Cricetulus griseus: one gene and its partners. The protein of the gene in region 1 purifies or fractionates together with the protein of each later gene. This does not show direct contact. Links are inferred from orthologs where the notes say so. Each region holds a gene or a part of one and is shown on either strand. Other genes may lie near its edges. The genes, in order: Med12, Cdk19, Vdr and Med9.

Region 1 (3,564 bases):
ATGCCCTGGAACTGGAGTTTATAGACAATTGTGAGCTGCCATGTGGGTGCTAGGAATCAAACCCTCTGGAAAAACAGCCCTCTGGAAGAGCAGCCAGGGAATGTTCTTAATTGCTGAGGCATTTTCCCAGACCTACCAACCACCCGTTATCAGGGTTTTCTTTTGTTGTTCTTCCTGTTATTGCCTCAGGGGTGTCTGTCTCTGCCTGGTCTAAGAGCGCCATTACTGAGATGTGTCCCTATCTCTTTTGTCCGTCTTGTGTTCTGCTAACTTATCTCTCCTCATTCCCTCTTTCTAGCTGATCCCCGCAGTGAGAGTGAACGAGTGGAATTCTTTAATCTAGTACTGCTGTTCTGTGAACTGATCCGACACGATGTTTTCTCGCACAACATGTACACCTGCACTCTCATCTCTCGGGGAGATCTTGCTTTTGGAGCCCCTGGTCCTCGGCCTCCCTCTCCCTTTGATGATCCTGCGGATGACCCAGAGCGCAAGGAGACTGAAGGCAGCAGCAGTAGCAAGCTAGAGGTGTGTGTCCTTTTCATTGCTCTTAATTATTACTTTTGACGTTCCCATTTTTACAGCTTCTAGAAGCCTCTGAGCATCTCTTGTACCCAAGAATAATGGTATTTTCTCAGAACTTCATGATTTATAGAATAGTCTCATGTCAGTTTTTCACTTAATCTTCAGAAAAGGCTTGTGAGGTACTTCTCCTGCTTTCCATTTAAAGGTGATGGAAACTGAGGCTTTGCCTACTGGTTAAGTAAATGAACAAGGTTTGAATCCATAACTTGGGCTTTCCTCATGCCCCCTTGATCCAGTTGTTTTTTTTTTTTTTTTTGGTGTTTTTTTTTTTTTTTTTTTTTTTTTTTTTGGTTTTTCGAGACAGGGTTTCTCTGTGTAGCTTTGGAGCCTATCCTGGCACTCGCTCTGGAGACCAGGCTGGCCTCCAACTCACAGAGATCTGCCTGTCTCTGCCTCCCGAGTGCTGGGATTAAAGGTGTGCGCCACCAACGCCTGGCCTTGATCCAGTTCTTAATGAACTTTCCTGGACAGTGAGGAAGCACTTCCAGGACCAAGGCAGCTCTTGATTTGTTGTGTGCCTGCAGGATCCAGGGCTCTCTGAATCTATGGACATAGACCCTAGTTCCAGTGTGCTTTTTGAAGACATGGAGAAGCCCGATTTCTCAGTAAGATCCCAAGCATGGAAGAATCCAGCACCTTGGTTCTCCCCTTATGCCTCCTTTTGGAATTTCTTTATGCCTCCTTTTGCTTCTCCTGAATGTTCTGCCCTTTCACCCTCTTAGTTGTTCTCCCCTACTATGCCTTGTGAGGGGAAGGGAAGCCCATCCCCTGAGAAACCAGATGTCGAAAAGGAAGTGAAACCCCCACCCAAAGAGAAGATGGAGGGGACACTTGGGGTTCTTTATGACCAGCCACGACATGTGCAGTATGCCACACACTTTCCAATCCCACAGGTACTGTTGTCCAACATTTGTGATAGTCTGCTTTGAGCCCAGATTTCCATCCAAGGAGTTTGCTGAGGGGCTAGACCAGTTCCCCAGGGTGTGGGTGTGTTTGAGAAGGGGCTTGAACGTGGGAGCTTTGAGAGATACAAAGCATGCTCTTAAGAGGAGGGCAGGAGACCCATGATGGAATCTGATGGTGCTGCCGGGATGCAGGAGGAGTCATGCAGCCATGAGTGCAACCAGCGGTTGGTCGTACTGTTTGGGGTGGGGAAGCAGCGAGATGATGCCCGCCATGCCATCAAGAAGATTACCAAGGATATCCTGAAGGTTCTGAACCGCAAGGGAACAGCAGAAACTGGTGGGTTTGAGTCTCCTTAAACAGAAGTCTCCCCAAAGAATGCCCTAGTCAGTCTTCCCATGCCCAGTGTAGGGCACTCCCCAGTCATGTCCCAATGTCCTGTCTCTTGGAGTCTCCTGAGAGCTCTAGTCCTTTTGAAACTTCCCCCTCATTCCCCCCCTCTACAGACCAGCTTGCTCCTATTGTGCCTCTGAATCCTGGAGACCTGACATTCTTAGGTACCTCACAGTAAGCCCCTTACTGCCCTCCCCCTACCCCCTTAACCTAGCGCCTCCCTGTACACATTCCTCAGAGGTCCACATAGTCTGTGGCCCTTTAAACCTGTGCTTCATTGTCCCGTTTATCCCTACCCAAGCCCTTCCTTGACCACCCTTCCCTTCTCTTCTCCTTCCCTCCTTCCCTTTTCCCCTCCTCCCTCCCTACCATAGTCCGTTCGCCACACCCCTACCCCAGCCCCTAGTCAACTGGTTTTCTTTCATTGTCCTGACTCATTGCTTTCAACTGTCCGCTCAGGTGGGGAAGATGGGCAGAAGCGACGCCGCAACCGGCCGGAAGCCTTCCCCACTGCTGAAGATATTTTTGCTAAGTTCCAGCACCTTTCTCATTATGACCAACACCAGGTCACGGCTCAGGTGTGGGCCTAAGCCAGCCCCCTTCCCATTCTGGCCTCTTTTCCTCTTTTCCTTTTTGTTTTATCTTCCCCCCCCCTACTAAACAGGCTAAGCCTGCTGGTCTCATCCCCTTCCACCATCACCCTTTCCTGCTTCCCTAGGTCTTCTTTCCTTCCATTCCTGTCTCACTCCTACTGCCCTTATCAGGTCTCCCGGAATGTTCTGGAGCAGATCACGAGCTTTGCCCTTGGCATGTCATACCACTTGCCTCTGGTGCAGCATGTGCAGTTCATCTTCGACCTCATGGAATATTCACTGAGCATCAGTGGCCTCATCGACTTTGCCATTCAGGTGGGGAAGTTGGGCCAGATAAGGGCGGAAGAAGGAATTCATGCTCTATAGGGTCATGAAGAGGAGTAGAGGCTCCAGCCAGTTTCCTAGGCTATTTGGATGGCTGAAAGACTAGCACAGTGGGAGTGGAACATGATCTAAGACTGCTGGAATAGAGGTTTAAGTGCTCCCTGGGGAGGCCCAAGAGACAGATTAGAGCTTTGGGTACAGACCATCCTCCCCCTGTGGAGTTTATAGCATGCTGTCCTGGAGACTGCTTAGAGATACTGCTAGTAGAGTGCGACACTGGTACATGGTAACCTGACCCTTCTGTGCTGAAGTGGCTGCAGCAGGAAGGAGCTCAGGCTTGGCCATGTCAAGTTCCTTCCAGAAAGTGGGGTTATGGCCAATGAAAGGGGCCTCTTATGTTTCACCTCCATGTCTCTGATAGTTGCTGAATGAGCTGAGCGTGGTTGAGGCCGAGCTCCTTCTCAAATCTTCTGATCTGGTGGGCAGCTACACAACCAGCCTATGCTTATGTATCGTGGCTGTCCTGCGACACTATCATGCCTGCCTCATCCTCAACCAGGACCAGATGGCACAAGTGTTTGAGGGGTAAGCAGGGTTCTGGTAAATGCCAGTTGTTAATGGCCTAGGAAGGATCGTTATACATGGGTCCACACAGTGGGGCAGAGTCTGCTGCTAAGGTATGGGTAGGAATAGCTGTACCAAGACACTTGAATTTATTTCCAGGGCTTTTGTGCCCTGGGCCATGTATACCCCTGTTGATCCTCCC
Region 2 (4,028 bases), on another chromosome or scaffold:
TATGCTATGGAATCAGGATTTCTTGACCCTTTTAATGAAAAGAAATTTTTAACAATATTCCTTTATTATAAGTATTCCTAACTAGAAAAAATATTGCCTCAGACTTGTCACTATAAACTTTTATGTTCCACTTTTTTTGAGACAGGGCCTCACATACCCCAGACTGGCTGGAACTTGTGTATAGCCAAGTATGGCCTTGAACCTCTGGTCTGCCTGGCTCCACTTCCTAAATGTTGGGATTAAATCAAGGCCAGTTTATGTGGCGTGCAACCCATATTCTAAGCGGGGTTTTCTTTGGTTTTGGGGTTGGGGAGGTTGTCTGTTTGGTTTTGAGTTTTTGTTGTTTGGTTTTGTTTCTCAAGACAAGGTTTCTCTGTGTTGCCCTAGCTGTCCTGGAATTGTAGACCCAGTTGACTTCAAACTCAGAGAGATCAGCCTGCCTCTGCCTCTGGCTCTAAATGGATTTTGTTTTTTTGGTTTTTGGGGTTTTTTTTTTTGGGGGGGGGGGTTGCTGTTGTTTTTAAAATCTACTTTGAAAATACAAAAGTTGACTTTATTTTATTTACTCTAATTTACCAGTTTCACTCAAGGAAAAAGTGTATTTGAATCAAGATCTTTATTAGAGAGACACACTGGGAAACAAACAGAACAAGGCACTATGTTTTGTTGCAAGCCCAGCCATTCAATTCAATTCAGAAGCAGAATTATTTTTAACTTCTCTCAGTTTCCAGGCAAAATAAAAATATTTCAAATTTAAAACTTTTTTTTTTAAATTCTAGATGAAGTGTACTACAAAGTTAGCTTGGGGAGAGAGGGGATCCACCTCGGTTATTTTATAACAACAATGTCCAATAGTAGCAATGGATTTGCTTTCCCCAATCATCCCTGTAAAGACTCCCACTGGAATACCAATTTAAAAAGTACTGTGGATACTCCAAAAACAAAGCACAACTCGATTACAGCACCTATAGCCCCAGGAGAGCCCTCAAGGACACATGGTAATTAAAAGAAACAACTCCTTCAACTGAGTAACTTGACCTCTACAGTTGTACCTACAACAGTAATCATCATCCTTGAAACCTGGACAGTTCTTGTAATTTTCAGAGCACTGTATATGAAACACTTCACACGATGTGTTTTGTTTTTCCTCTTACAATAAAATCAGCACATACTACTTTGATGCTGGAGTTCCGTCACCCAGCCAATCAAATTACAGCAGTGCAAGAAGGAACCCTAAGTAGCACTTCAAATCTAAAGTGTGGTGACAATCTGCTTATCAAAAATGCTCCAACACGATCCTAAAAACTCTCTTTTGTATAGTCTGACACTCCTTAGGGTCGGTTGGAGACTTTCTTTCCAAGTTCCAGAACCTAGCAAAAAGGAATTCCTTCCAGGATGGGACCAAGGAAACAACCGGCTTTAAAACCCACCATTCCTAGGCCAGAAGCGGGTTCCATCCGTCCTGCTCTGGCCCAAAGAAGACATTCTCGATGCATTATTATTAATATAACAATCAAATAATGCTCCCCAAGAGATTCCTATAAATTCCCTCAACTCCTAAGAACCGGTGGTTCAGGCCTGGGTCTGTCACTCCGTTTTCTGTTCTTGATGGTCTAGGTTTTCGATAAACACAACCAAAGCACGCAGCCATTTGACAAGAGGATGGGAAATGGAGGATATAATACTCAATATTTCTTCCTGAAGAAAAAAAAGGGGGGTAGCACATGTCCTTAATCACAGTACCTGAGAGGCAGAGGCAGGCGGATCTCTGAGTTCCAGGCCAGCCAGGAGAGCAGAGACCCTGTCTTAAAAAAAAAAAAGGGGGGGGGGGTAGGCGGTACCCAAGATAGCCAAGAGGAAGAAAAGGTAGGCACCAAAGAACACTAACATTTAATCTCTCCAGGGTCCACCTTCAGAGTGCTAAACTCAGAATGTTAGCATGTGGAATCGGGAGCAGGTGAGCAATCAGGGATGCAGACTGGGTTGGCAGCATCCAGAGTCAGACCCCAGGGGCCCGCCAGGACCCTCAGCGCGCTGCCGCCACACGGGCGGCGCCCCCGCGAGCTTTCAAACCGCCGCCCCGGGAAGGCGCTGCGCCGATTGGGAAGTTCTTCCACGACCGTCACCAGCACAGGGCCATAGCGGTAACTCTTCAGCCAAGCCCTCCCAGACCTCTCCGAGTCCCCGGGGACCAGACCTCCAAACTCCACCTCCAGGCGCGGTCTCCACCAGGTCGTCGCCCGCTGTAAGCACGCAGCGGCGACTCGCGGCGGGACCGACGCCCCCCGACGGGGCTGCGCCGAGCGACTTGGAGGGGCGCGACCGGCCAGCGGGGGGCGGCAGCACGAGTGCCTCCGGCTCGCCCCCGGGACGCCGCTCCGCGACCCACGCCACCTCGCCCCGTGGGCTCCGACCCACCCAGCCCTGCGGGTCTCCCAGCGGCGGGGACCGGACGAGCCCACTCCCCCGCCCGCGCTCTTACCCATCTTTCCGCCTCGCCTTGTAGACGTGCCCATAGGTGCCGCGTCCCACTTTGCACCCTTCGTACTCAAACAGATCCTCCACCCGCTCCCGCTCCGCCGCCAGCTTCGCCTTGAAATCATAATCCATTGTCTGCTTCCCCCATAGAGAAACCGGGACGCGGGGGCCGCCGCCACTCAGTCCCTCCGCCGCCGCCGCTCCACTTCTCCAACAGCCGCCGCTCGGGCGCGCGCGCGCCGCCCGCCGCTCCGCAGTCCGCCTTCAGCAAGGGACTCCTCGGCGGCCGAGGCAGCCACCTCCTCCGCCTCCTCCTCCTCCGCGGCGGCGGCGGAGGCTCCCGCAGGCACCCACAGTCCCGCCTCCCCCCTTCATTTCCTTGTTTTGGAACCTGGTGGGCCGCGCCGCGGCTTTCTCGAACTCATTAACAAGCCAAGCGGCCCGCCCCGAGGTGGCGGGGGATCCTGGGAAATGTGGTTTAACAGGCCTCGGGAACCGTGCTAGTTCCTCGGAGGTAAGGAATACAGTTCCCAGGGTTCCTTGGGCCATTTCGGCCACGCCTCCACAAGGCAAAAACGCCTGCGCACAGTCTCCGCCCCACCCCCTCAGGTAGCCCGCGACTCGCTGTTCCCGTAAACTATAGCGCGAAGTTGCAGCGAGCTTTCTGCAAGCCCGTGGGAGCTTGTGGGAGGGAAGCCTTTGCTCTGCTGGAAAGGAGATAACCGGCTCTGGCTGTCCCTGGGCGAAGGGAGCTGGAAGCACCTCACGAGCGCCTAGTGCCGGAGCTCATTCCGGGGCATCCGGAGCCGAGGACCGGGGTTTCGACAGTTGTACTACACATTGTTTGTTTTCTTGGGCAATTGATCCTCCCGTTGCCCCGCCCCTGGCCGCGGCTTATTGGCAGAGGCTGAAGAATGACGTCCTCGTGGGTGCATGGGTATCTCCGGCTTTGGCTTCTTTCCCGCTCTTGATTGGTAATTGGATGTGCTCGGTTCTTCCTGATAGGTTAGTCTTTTTTCTTTACGATGCAAAAACCGTATTTCAAAACCTGAACATTCAGCGGTTTCCCAGCTCTTGCTAGGGGAACCGTGTAACTTCTCGGGCCCACAGCCAATTATCTTTTTCTTGGCGCTCCAGTCGGGTTTTATCCTAGCATATGCGGGGTGCGGTAGCCGAGCTTTAACCATCTGTCTGAGAACAATTAAAGTGCCTGGAAGATTGGAAAATGCAGCGTTTTAAAAACAATCATTTTTGCTGGGTTGTAAAGCGTTTTTACAGTATATGCATAATAGTGAGACTCACCTAGGGGTTTTAAGAAATTTATCTTAATCATGACTTTGATTCGTTTTGATGTCTGGGGCTCAGGACACGTCGGCTCAAAATATGTAAGAGCCTAGAAAGTGCCACGCTAAAAATGTGTCCCTCTGCGTGTTGATTATTTTTAAACTAAAAGAAATGGAGATCCATCCAACACACGAGTTTCAGCTCCCTTCCACTACCCAAAATAAAATATAAGGGAACATTTTTTGTAAAGAGAATGTTAAATTTGT
Region 3 (3,564 bases), on another chromosome or scaffold:
AGAATTGGGTGTGCAGGAACCTTGTAGGTTGAATCTAAATGGATGACGTGAGAACTAGTTTCAAGGCAGCAGTGGGAGCCAGCTGCAGGTAGCTAGGGCTCCTTGATCTGGTTCTGATGCCCTAAAAGGATCCTAGCTGGTCATGAAACCTCAGTAGGATGTCATTTCATCACCCAGAAAGTGAGCAGCAGAGCTGCTCTCAGAAGTCTCTCAAAATAATACTGGGCAGCTACATGTGCTAAAGGACAGTCCTGGACTGGCCCAGAGGTCCTGGTGTAAGCCCTCTGGGATGAGCCTGAGGCTGTCATTGGGGGAAGCCAGATATTGTCTAGTACCACATAGGATCCTGACAGTTTCCCAGCACACCACAAGAGCTTCTTACCTGAATCCTGGTATCATCTTGGCAAAGCCGATGACCTTTTGGATGCTATAGCTGACCAGGTCCGCTAAGTGTGGCAACATGGAGAGCTGGGACAGATCCAGGCTCACCAAAGGGTCATCAGAGTCCTCTTCATTCAGATCCAGGTTGGAAAAATTGGATGGTTCCATCATGTCTGGGGAAGATGACGAAAGAGAGGGAACTACTTAGGGACACCCCGGCCAGGCCCTCCTGTGAGGACCTGAGGCAAAGTCACCTCATAGTGACTGCTTTCTCCCAGAGTCCCTCTTCCTACCCAGGCTCCCTCTGGGTCTCTCCCCATCTCTTATTTTAGCTCTTTGAGGCAGTAAATCCAAGAAGCCAGAGATAGTCTGGAAAAAAGTCCTTTTTATCTATAATTTTGCAAAGCATGCAGTCTTCCTAATAACTCAATTAAAACCATGTTTGGGACCCCTCAACCCAGGGGCAAAAGCTGACTTCCTTAACCCATGGGGCAAAAAGCTCACTTCCTACAAGGTAGAGAATATTTACATTTTCCAACTACACACTGAAGACAAATATAAAATGGATGCTGGCATTTGTAAAGACTGAAGCATTGAAGAGAGTCTTACGCAGGTAAAGGTGCTGCAGATGTGTGGCTATGCAGGTCATCTAAAAAACTACTTGAAACCAGGAGTGAAAAGCCTTCAGTTGCTGAGTGTGGTCATGTGCTCCTGTAATACCAGCTCTCAAGAGGTGAAGACAAGAGGATGGAACCCCAGGAGAGAGAGATCTTATCATTATGTGTGTAGTGATCCCACTTCCACGGATTCATTATAAGAAAAAAATTGGATTAAGTATAAATATTTATCAGGAGAAACACTAAAAAAAACTGGGAAGCAATATAGATATCCAACAATAGGGGATTTTGATATTTCTTTTTTTTTTTTAAAATAAAATGAAAAAAGAGAAGGGCCACGAATCATCAGGCTACATAACACAATTCCATTTCTGAAGGGAATCAGAAAGACATATCAAGGGGTTAACAGTAATTTCCTTTGAACATTAGGATCAAAGATTATATTATGCAACAAAATGTATTCACCTACATTTTCTAAATAGCTATGGTGAATGTGTATTACTTCTGTATAACAATTTTTAATTAACATCATTTTACCTTTCTGAGTTTGTAAACATACTATGTGAATACACATTGGTGGGTATAAGGATCTTGGACCAATGAACTTATGAAAAGTTTAAAATTCCCCAGCACCCAGAAGGCAAGTGATCTCCTATGAGTTCCAGGCCAGCCTGGTCTCCAGGACAGCCAATGTTATATAGTAACACCCTATCGCAAAATAAAATAAAGAGGGGCTAGAGAGATGGCTCAGTGGTTAATAGCATTGGCTATCCTTGCAGAGGACCCGGGTTCAATTCCCAGCACCCACATAGCAGCTCACAACTGTCTGTGACTCTAGTTCCAGGGGATCTGGCATCCTCACACCATTGCACATGAAATAAAACTGGTTTTAAAAAAAAGAAAAATTTAAAAATAAACAAATAAAATAAAGAATAATAGAATCACCTAATGGGCATACATGATTACAAAAAGCTGAAGTACTGTTTGTCCATAGCTAGGACAATGACTACATCATCTATGGAAAGCAGAATGAATACTGGCTGGAGGGGGATCCCAGTGAGGGGAGGGAAGGGAGTGCCAGTCACAGCCATGCCCAGCGCTTTTCTTTCGTGTTTGACCACTTCCCTCTCTTCATTTCTGGTAGGTAGGCACTGTCTGCGCAGTTATCTCAGTCCACTTGGCACTAGCACCCAGTTTCAATCCATCCAGAGGTGTGCCAGAGTCCTAAGTGAAGGTCAAGACTGTGGTTACCCAGAATGTGCACACATGTGTGAGGCGGGCAGGGAGAGGGGGGTCCCATCCCCACCTTCTTCCAGGTCCTGAGAGGAGGACACCAGAACTGGTGAGAGATAGAGCAAGAAGGAAGGACGAGGCAGGATGATGAAGATGTACATGTAAGAGAACCCAAAGCAGAAAAGCACAAACTCAGAAGTTGAAGGCGACAGGTTGTCCAAGGCGATGGTGCTCAGTCCCCCCAGTACTCAGGCCATAGGGCCCTTGGCATCATAGGTCATCTTCCCACATCAGTTTCACCTTCCAAAGAGTCCAGGACCAACACCTTGAGCAGTGAGTGACCTCCAGGTCATTCCAGGGAAGAAGTTAAGGACAGAGCTTAGCTCAGAGGCTGAGCCTGGACCCAGAGGGCCCATCTGTGCAGCCAGAAGCCCAGCTTGGTCTCTTCCCAGCACACATCTTTCACAAGCCAGCCCTCTTTCCATGAAAGAAGGGCTGTATCCCACACACCGTATGCAAATAGGAGATTTCTGTCCCTTCCCTATAGCCTAAGAGCGAGTGGAGGTGGACACTTTCCCCCCAGTTTGCTTGGGTGAAGGGCTCCTTACCCAGTGACGTTGTGTACAGATCGGAGCTGGAGGAGGAGGAATCCCCGGAGAAGCTGAGTGTGGGCCCTGCAGGATAGCTCCTTTCACTCCCATCCATACGAACTGGAGGCTGGAAGGCAAAGATGGGTTCTCAGAGGTCCCTATTTGGGGGCTATTCTCCTGCCTCTGAGAACAAAGGTTTCAGGGAAGGTCTGCAAGGGGAACGGCTCACAGGGGACAGCATGGCCTCCATATCTTCCCAGCTCCTCCCTGACCCTCCATCCGGGCTCCCCATGCCTAGGCTATATCTGATTCTCAAGCCCTGGGCCAGCAGACATACCCTGAAATCCCTGAAGTCAGCATAGGTGGGGTCATAGGTCTTGTGGTGGGCATCCAGCAGGATGGCTATAATGCGCTGCTGTTCCTCGGATAGCTTGGGCCTCAGACTGTCCTTCAAGGCTTCTTCCTCCTTTCGCTTCATGATCATCTCCCTCTTACGCTGCACCTCCTCATCTGTTAGGATGACTGTGGGGGCAAGAAAGCAAGTCCTGAGGGATGGCCCCAAATCCCTCCCTCCGGGAGTGCTTCCTCCACAACAAAAGGACTGGCATGGGAGGGGCTAGTCAGTTCCTTACACGGTGGGGGCGGGGTGGAGGGGGGAAGCAGGGCAGAGGGGAGCTCCGTGGGACCTAGCCACCATGTTATGTTAGCTCCCACGCCATGAAATGGAGGAAACTGGGTTTTCT
Region 4 (4,032 bases), on another chromosome or scaffold:
ATGGGATGGAATGCAGTCACCATCTAAGTAAGAGGTAAAGGCAGTGGGCATTTTAATGAGTATTTTTGCTCTCTTGGTTTGGGTTCTGGTACACTCACTTTTCAAAAGGAAATCACTTTGTCAAATTTCACTTTGTCTGTGTTCCTTTATGCAACACTGCAATCATTCTTTTCCCAACACTTTCTCCACTTCTTCTGTTTGGGACACTCTCTGCAGCTCAGAAGAAAACAATCCTGAGACCCATAACTAAAAACCTCAAAACACCTCCAATATTCCATTTCTGAAGATCTGGCTCCAAATGCCCTTCCCAAGGCAGCTGAAGTCAGCAACATCCCTGCTCCACTTGGGATTTGCCACTGTGAACTTCACATTCCTGTTCCTTTTTTCATGACTTATTTTTTACTTTATGTTCACTGGTGTTTGCCTGAATGTATGCCTGAGGGTATCAGAGCCCCTGGAACTGGAGTTACAGACATGTGTGAGCTGCCTTGTGAGTGATGGGAACCAAACCAGAGTCTTCTGGAAGAGCACTGAGCACTCTTAAGCACTGAGACGTCTCTCCAGCCCCTTCCTGTTCCTTTTTGAGCTCTTTGCCTCTCTTTACTGGCATGGGGGTTGAATAAGGACAGATGGCCTCTCCCAGTTGACAGCTTTCCTAATTTCTTGTCTAGAAATTTATAATACAGCTTCCATGTCATATTTTCCTTGGGAAAACATAATATCTATCAGAAGTCCCCCGCTTTTGCTTATACACATAAGTATATGGCACCTGCTAGATGCAGACTAAATGCTTGAAGAACGGTTAATTTTTCCCTCGGCAGCCATGTGGAACCTCGGCAGACAATGTGTTTGTATGGTGTGTTTTGCTGTCGCCAGTCAGGGGCCCTCCTGGAGGCTGGCAAGACACAAAGAAGCGTAGGTCCTTGTCATCAGGATGCTCGCTGCCTCAGAGCCCCATTTTCACACGGCGCTCACCGGCGTCATCCGTTCTTCCTGCCAGTCCCAGGGCGGGGACTGGCGGGGGGGGGGTCCTTGTTGGTGTTTTGACCCTTCTCTGTCATGCGAACTAGAAAAAGATGACTGAAATAGGTCCCCTACTCCTGACTGCTTAATTTAGCCGTCTGGATACCAGTCGCCTAGCAACACTTGCCCGCCTACGCCCAGCGCGCAGGCTCAGACCCTTTCCCCACCCGGCCTCCCGGGCGCACATCTGTGACGTAAGCATCCAGCGACTCTCGGCAGTACCGCACGCCTGGTACCATGGCTTCCTCCGGGGTGACCGGTGGGAGACAGGCCGAAGATACACTGCAGCCACCGCCCGAGCTGCTGCCGGAGTCCAAGCCGCTGCCGCCGCCTCAGCCTCTACCGGTCGCCGCGCTCCCGCCGCCGCCGGCTCCGCGCCCTCAGTCCCCCGCAGGCGGGAAGGAGGAGAATTACTCCTTTTTGCCGTTGGTTCACAATGTCATCAAATGGTAAGGGCCTAGGAGAGGTCAAGACACCAACTTTCCCGGCCTCTGGTGTTGCTGGTTCGGTCCGAGCAGCGGAAGCCAGCGCGCTCTGAGCCACGCCCCATTTTCCCAGAGGAGCCGCACAGTCGCCTTTTGAGTTCAGCCACCTCCCAGGCCTTGAGAGTTACACTGTGCATCCAGGTGAAGCTCACATACTGAGCAAATTCACAGGTTCTACGGTGCACTCCTCTTGTTCGCATCCCAGACCCCTCAGCGTCTTTGGGATGGGTCTCAAGTCCTTACACATATAGTCTGATGGCAACTTTTGTTTTGTTTTGTTTTTCGAGACAAGGTTTCTCTGTAGCTTTGCAGGCTGTCCTGGAACTCACTCAGACCAGGCTGGCCTTGAACTCACAGAGATCCACTTGCCTCTGCCTCCCGAGTGCTGGGATTAAAGGCATGAGCCACCACCACCTGGCTAAAGGCAATTGTTTTATTTTTCTTCCAGACAGTGTTTCTTCCCTGTGTAACAGCCCTAGCTGTCCTGGAACTTGCTTTGTAGAAGCAAGCCTAGAATTCAGAGATCGCCTACTTCTGCCTCCCGAGTGCTGGAATTAAAGGTGTATGCCACCCCTCCCGGCTACCTAAAGGCAATTTTATACAATTGACTGTTCATATGAAGCCTAGTGTGGGATTTTCCATTTGTAGCATTATGTGGTCCCCTTAAGAGTTTTCGAATATTTGTGGATTTTAGATGTGAGATTCTCACCTTGAACACAGTTCCCGTTTCAATACTAGGCAGTATCTTTACTTGTGTGGCACTGTTAAGTACTGTGGATGAACACTGGAAAGGAACCATCAGTTTACCATCACAGTAAGAAGCAGAGCAGAGAAAAACAAACATAATAGTCTATGATTTTTACAACTGGAGAGGGGTGGAGTGATGCTAGAAAACATTTGAAACAAAGACACGGAAGTTGCTCCAAATGATTATGTCCCACCCAGTATTAACTTTCAACAGAATATCCAAGGATGTGGGTGTTACCTTTCTGACCCAGAGTCTCCAGTCTCCAATCTGGCTTACATTTTTTTGTTGTTGTTGTTATTTCCATATACAGTTGTGTCACTTCCAAGAGGTGACTTGTCCTGCAAACATTCTCATCTCAAGTGTGCTTTGATAAACTTAGGTGGTGCAGGACAGTTACTCCATGGGGCCTCTTGGTGCTGTCAGGATTCTTGGTAACAGCAAGAGAGTGTTGGATGGCTTGGTGGGTGAGACTACTTGCTTGCTGTGAAAGCAAGACAATCTGAGCCTGAATCCCCAGCATCCACATAAAAAGCCACTCATGGCTGCTCATACTTGTAGCCCAGCATTTCAGGGTAGAGACAAACAGATCTTGAGAGCTCTGGCCAGCCAGCCTGGCTGAAACCGAACTTCCATTCATCATGTGACCTTGTCTCAAAGCAATAAGGTGAAGAGCAACAGAAAAAGACAACCTACCTTAGCACGACTGCCTGCACACTCAGCAGGCATTCACAGACACAAATAGCAACCCCAACGCACATATAAGGCATACCACACATACATAATAAACAAAAAAGAGTCTTGGCAGCATGGGACGTATGAAAGTTGCTGCTGGTATATTAAGACATTCTGTTAAAAGGGGGGTTTTAATTATATATTTGTTTGTTTGAGAACAGGGTTTTTGCTACAAAGCCCACACTGCCTTTGACCTTTTGATCCTCTTATCGCAGCTTCCTGAGTACTGGGGCTACAGGCGTGTACCATTACACCTAGCAACTGTGAATCTCTTAGTAGGAAGGAGTGTGCTTTAAAATCATAGTAAAAAGTTCATTATAGTAAATGCATAAACTAGTGACATCACTATTTATATCCTTATCAAGCATTAGGCACTACCTGTAATTGTATATGCTATACTTTCATATATCTGGCAAAATTATTGTGGGTTTTTTTTCACAATAGTGTAAGTGATGCATTCTGATGCAGTGTTACCACAGCTACTGTGTCACTAGGCAAAGGAAGGTTTTGGTTACATTATAACCATTAGACTATTACTGTATATATGATCTGGCATTGACCAGGTTATTCAGTGCTGACTGTATAGCTATAGGACAGTAGGTGCAAACCCCTGAACTTGTAACTTCTGCTAAACCATTAAATACTAAAAATAAATTAAGACAAGATTACAATTCCAGTTGGGCGGTGGTGGTGGTGGTTTCGCACACCTTTAATCCCAGCTCTCTGGGAGACAGAGGCAGGCAGATCTCTGTGAGTTCGAGACCAACCTGGTCTACATGAGCTAGTTCCAGGACAGCCTCCAAAGCTACAGAGAAACCCTGTCTCGAACACCCCCCCCCCAAAAAAAGATTACAATTTCAGCCATGTTTATGAACATTGGCATGCCCTTTGATGTTTCACTGATATGGAATTGCCATTTGGCTTAAAAAAAAATCTTAATAGCAGGGGCTGGAGAAGATGGCTCAGAGGTTAATAGCACTGGCTGCTATTCCAGAGGTCCTGAGTTCAATTTCCAGCAACCACATGGTGGCTTACAACCATCTG

The links.
Region 2: the proteins of Med12 (region 1) and Cdk19 purify together in Homo sapiens (affinity purification with mass spectrometry; 10 studies listed by BioGRID and IntAct, counting the BioPlex papers as one, with this or other methods). This does not show direct contact. The link is inferred for Cricetulus griseus from reciprocal best matches to the Homo sapiens genes MED12 and CDK19.
Region 3: the proteins of Med12 (region 1) and Vdr purify together in Homo sapiens (affinity purification with mass spectrometry; 3 studies listed by BioGRID, with this or other methods). This does not show direct contact. The link is inferred for Cricetulus griseus from reciprocal best matches to the Homo sapiens genes MED12 and VDR.
Region 4: the proteins of Med12 (region 1) and Med9 purify together in Homo sapiens (affinity purification with mass spectrometry; 6 studies listed by BioGRID and IntAct, with this or other methods). This does not show direct contact. The link is inferred for Cricetulus griseus from reciprocal best matches to the Homo sapiens genes MED12 and MED9.

The regions. Positions count from the first base shown.
Region 1 is NC_048604.1:68,969,495-68,973,058, reverse strand, and holds part of Med12 (mediator of RNA polymerase II transcription subunit 12), read left to right. Parts: intron 1-298; coding exon 299-528; intron 529-1,109; coding exon 1,110-1,190; intron 1,191-1,307; coding exon 1,308-1,478; intron 1,479-1,682; coding exon 1,683-1,827; intron 1,828-1,994; coding exon 1,995-2,045; intron 2,046-2,340; coding exon 2,341-2,459; intron 2,460-2,645; coding exon 2,646-2,789; intron 2,790-3,219; coding exon 3,220-3,383; intron 3,384-3,564. UniProt on the Homo sapiens protein: Component of the Mediator complex, a coactivator involved in the regulated transcription of nearly all RNA polymerase II-dependent genes.
Region 2 is NC_048595.1:262,901,182-262,905,209, reverse strand, and holds the start of Cdk19 (cyclin-dependent kinase 19), read right to left. Parts: upstream 2,864-4,028; 5' UTR 2,611-2,863; coding exon 2,483-2,610; intron 1-2,482.
Region 3 is NC_048595.1:394,362,663-394,366,226, forward strand, and holds part of Vdr (vitamin D3 receptor), read right to left. Parts: intron 3,344-3,564; coding exon 3,159-3,343; intron 2,949-3,158; coding exon 2,840-2,948; intron 555-2,839; coding exon 383-554; intron 1-382.
Region 4 is NC_048600.1:74,064,872-74,068,903, forward strand, and holds the start of Med9 (mediator of RNA polymerase II transcription subunit 9), read left to right. Parts: upstream 1-1,224; 5' UTR 1,225-1,260; coding exon 1,261-1,472; intron 1,473-4,032.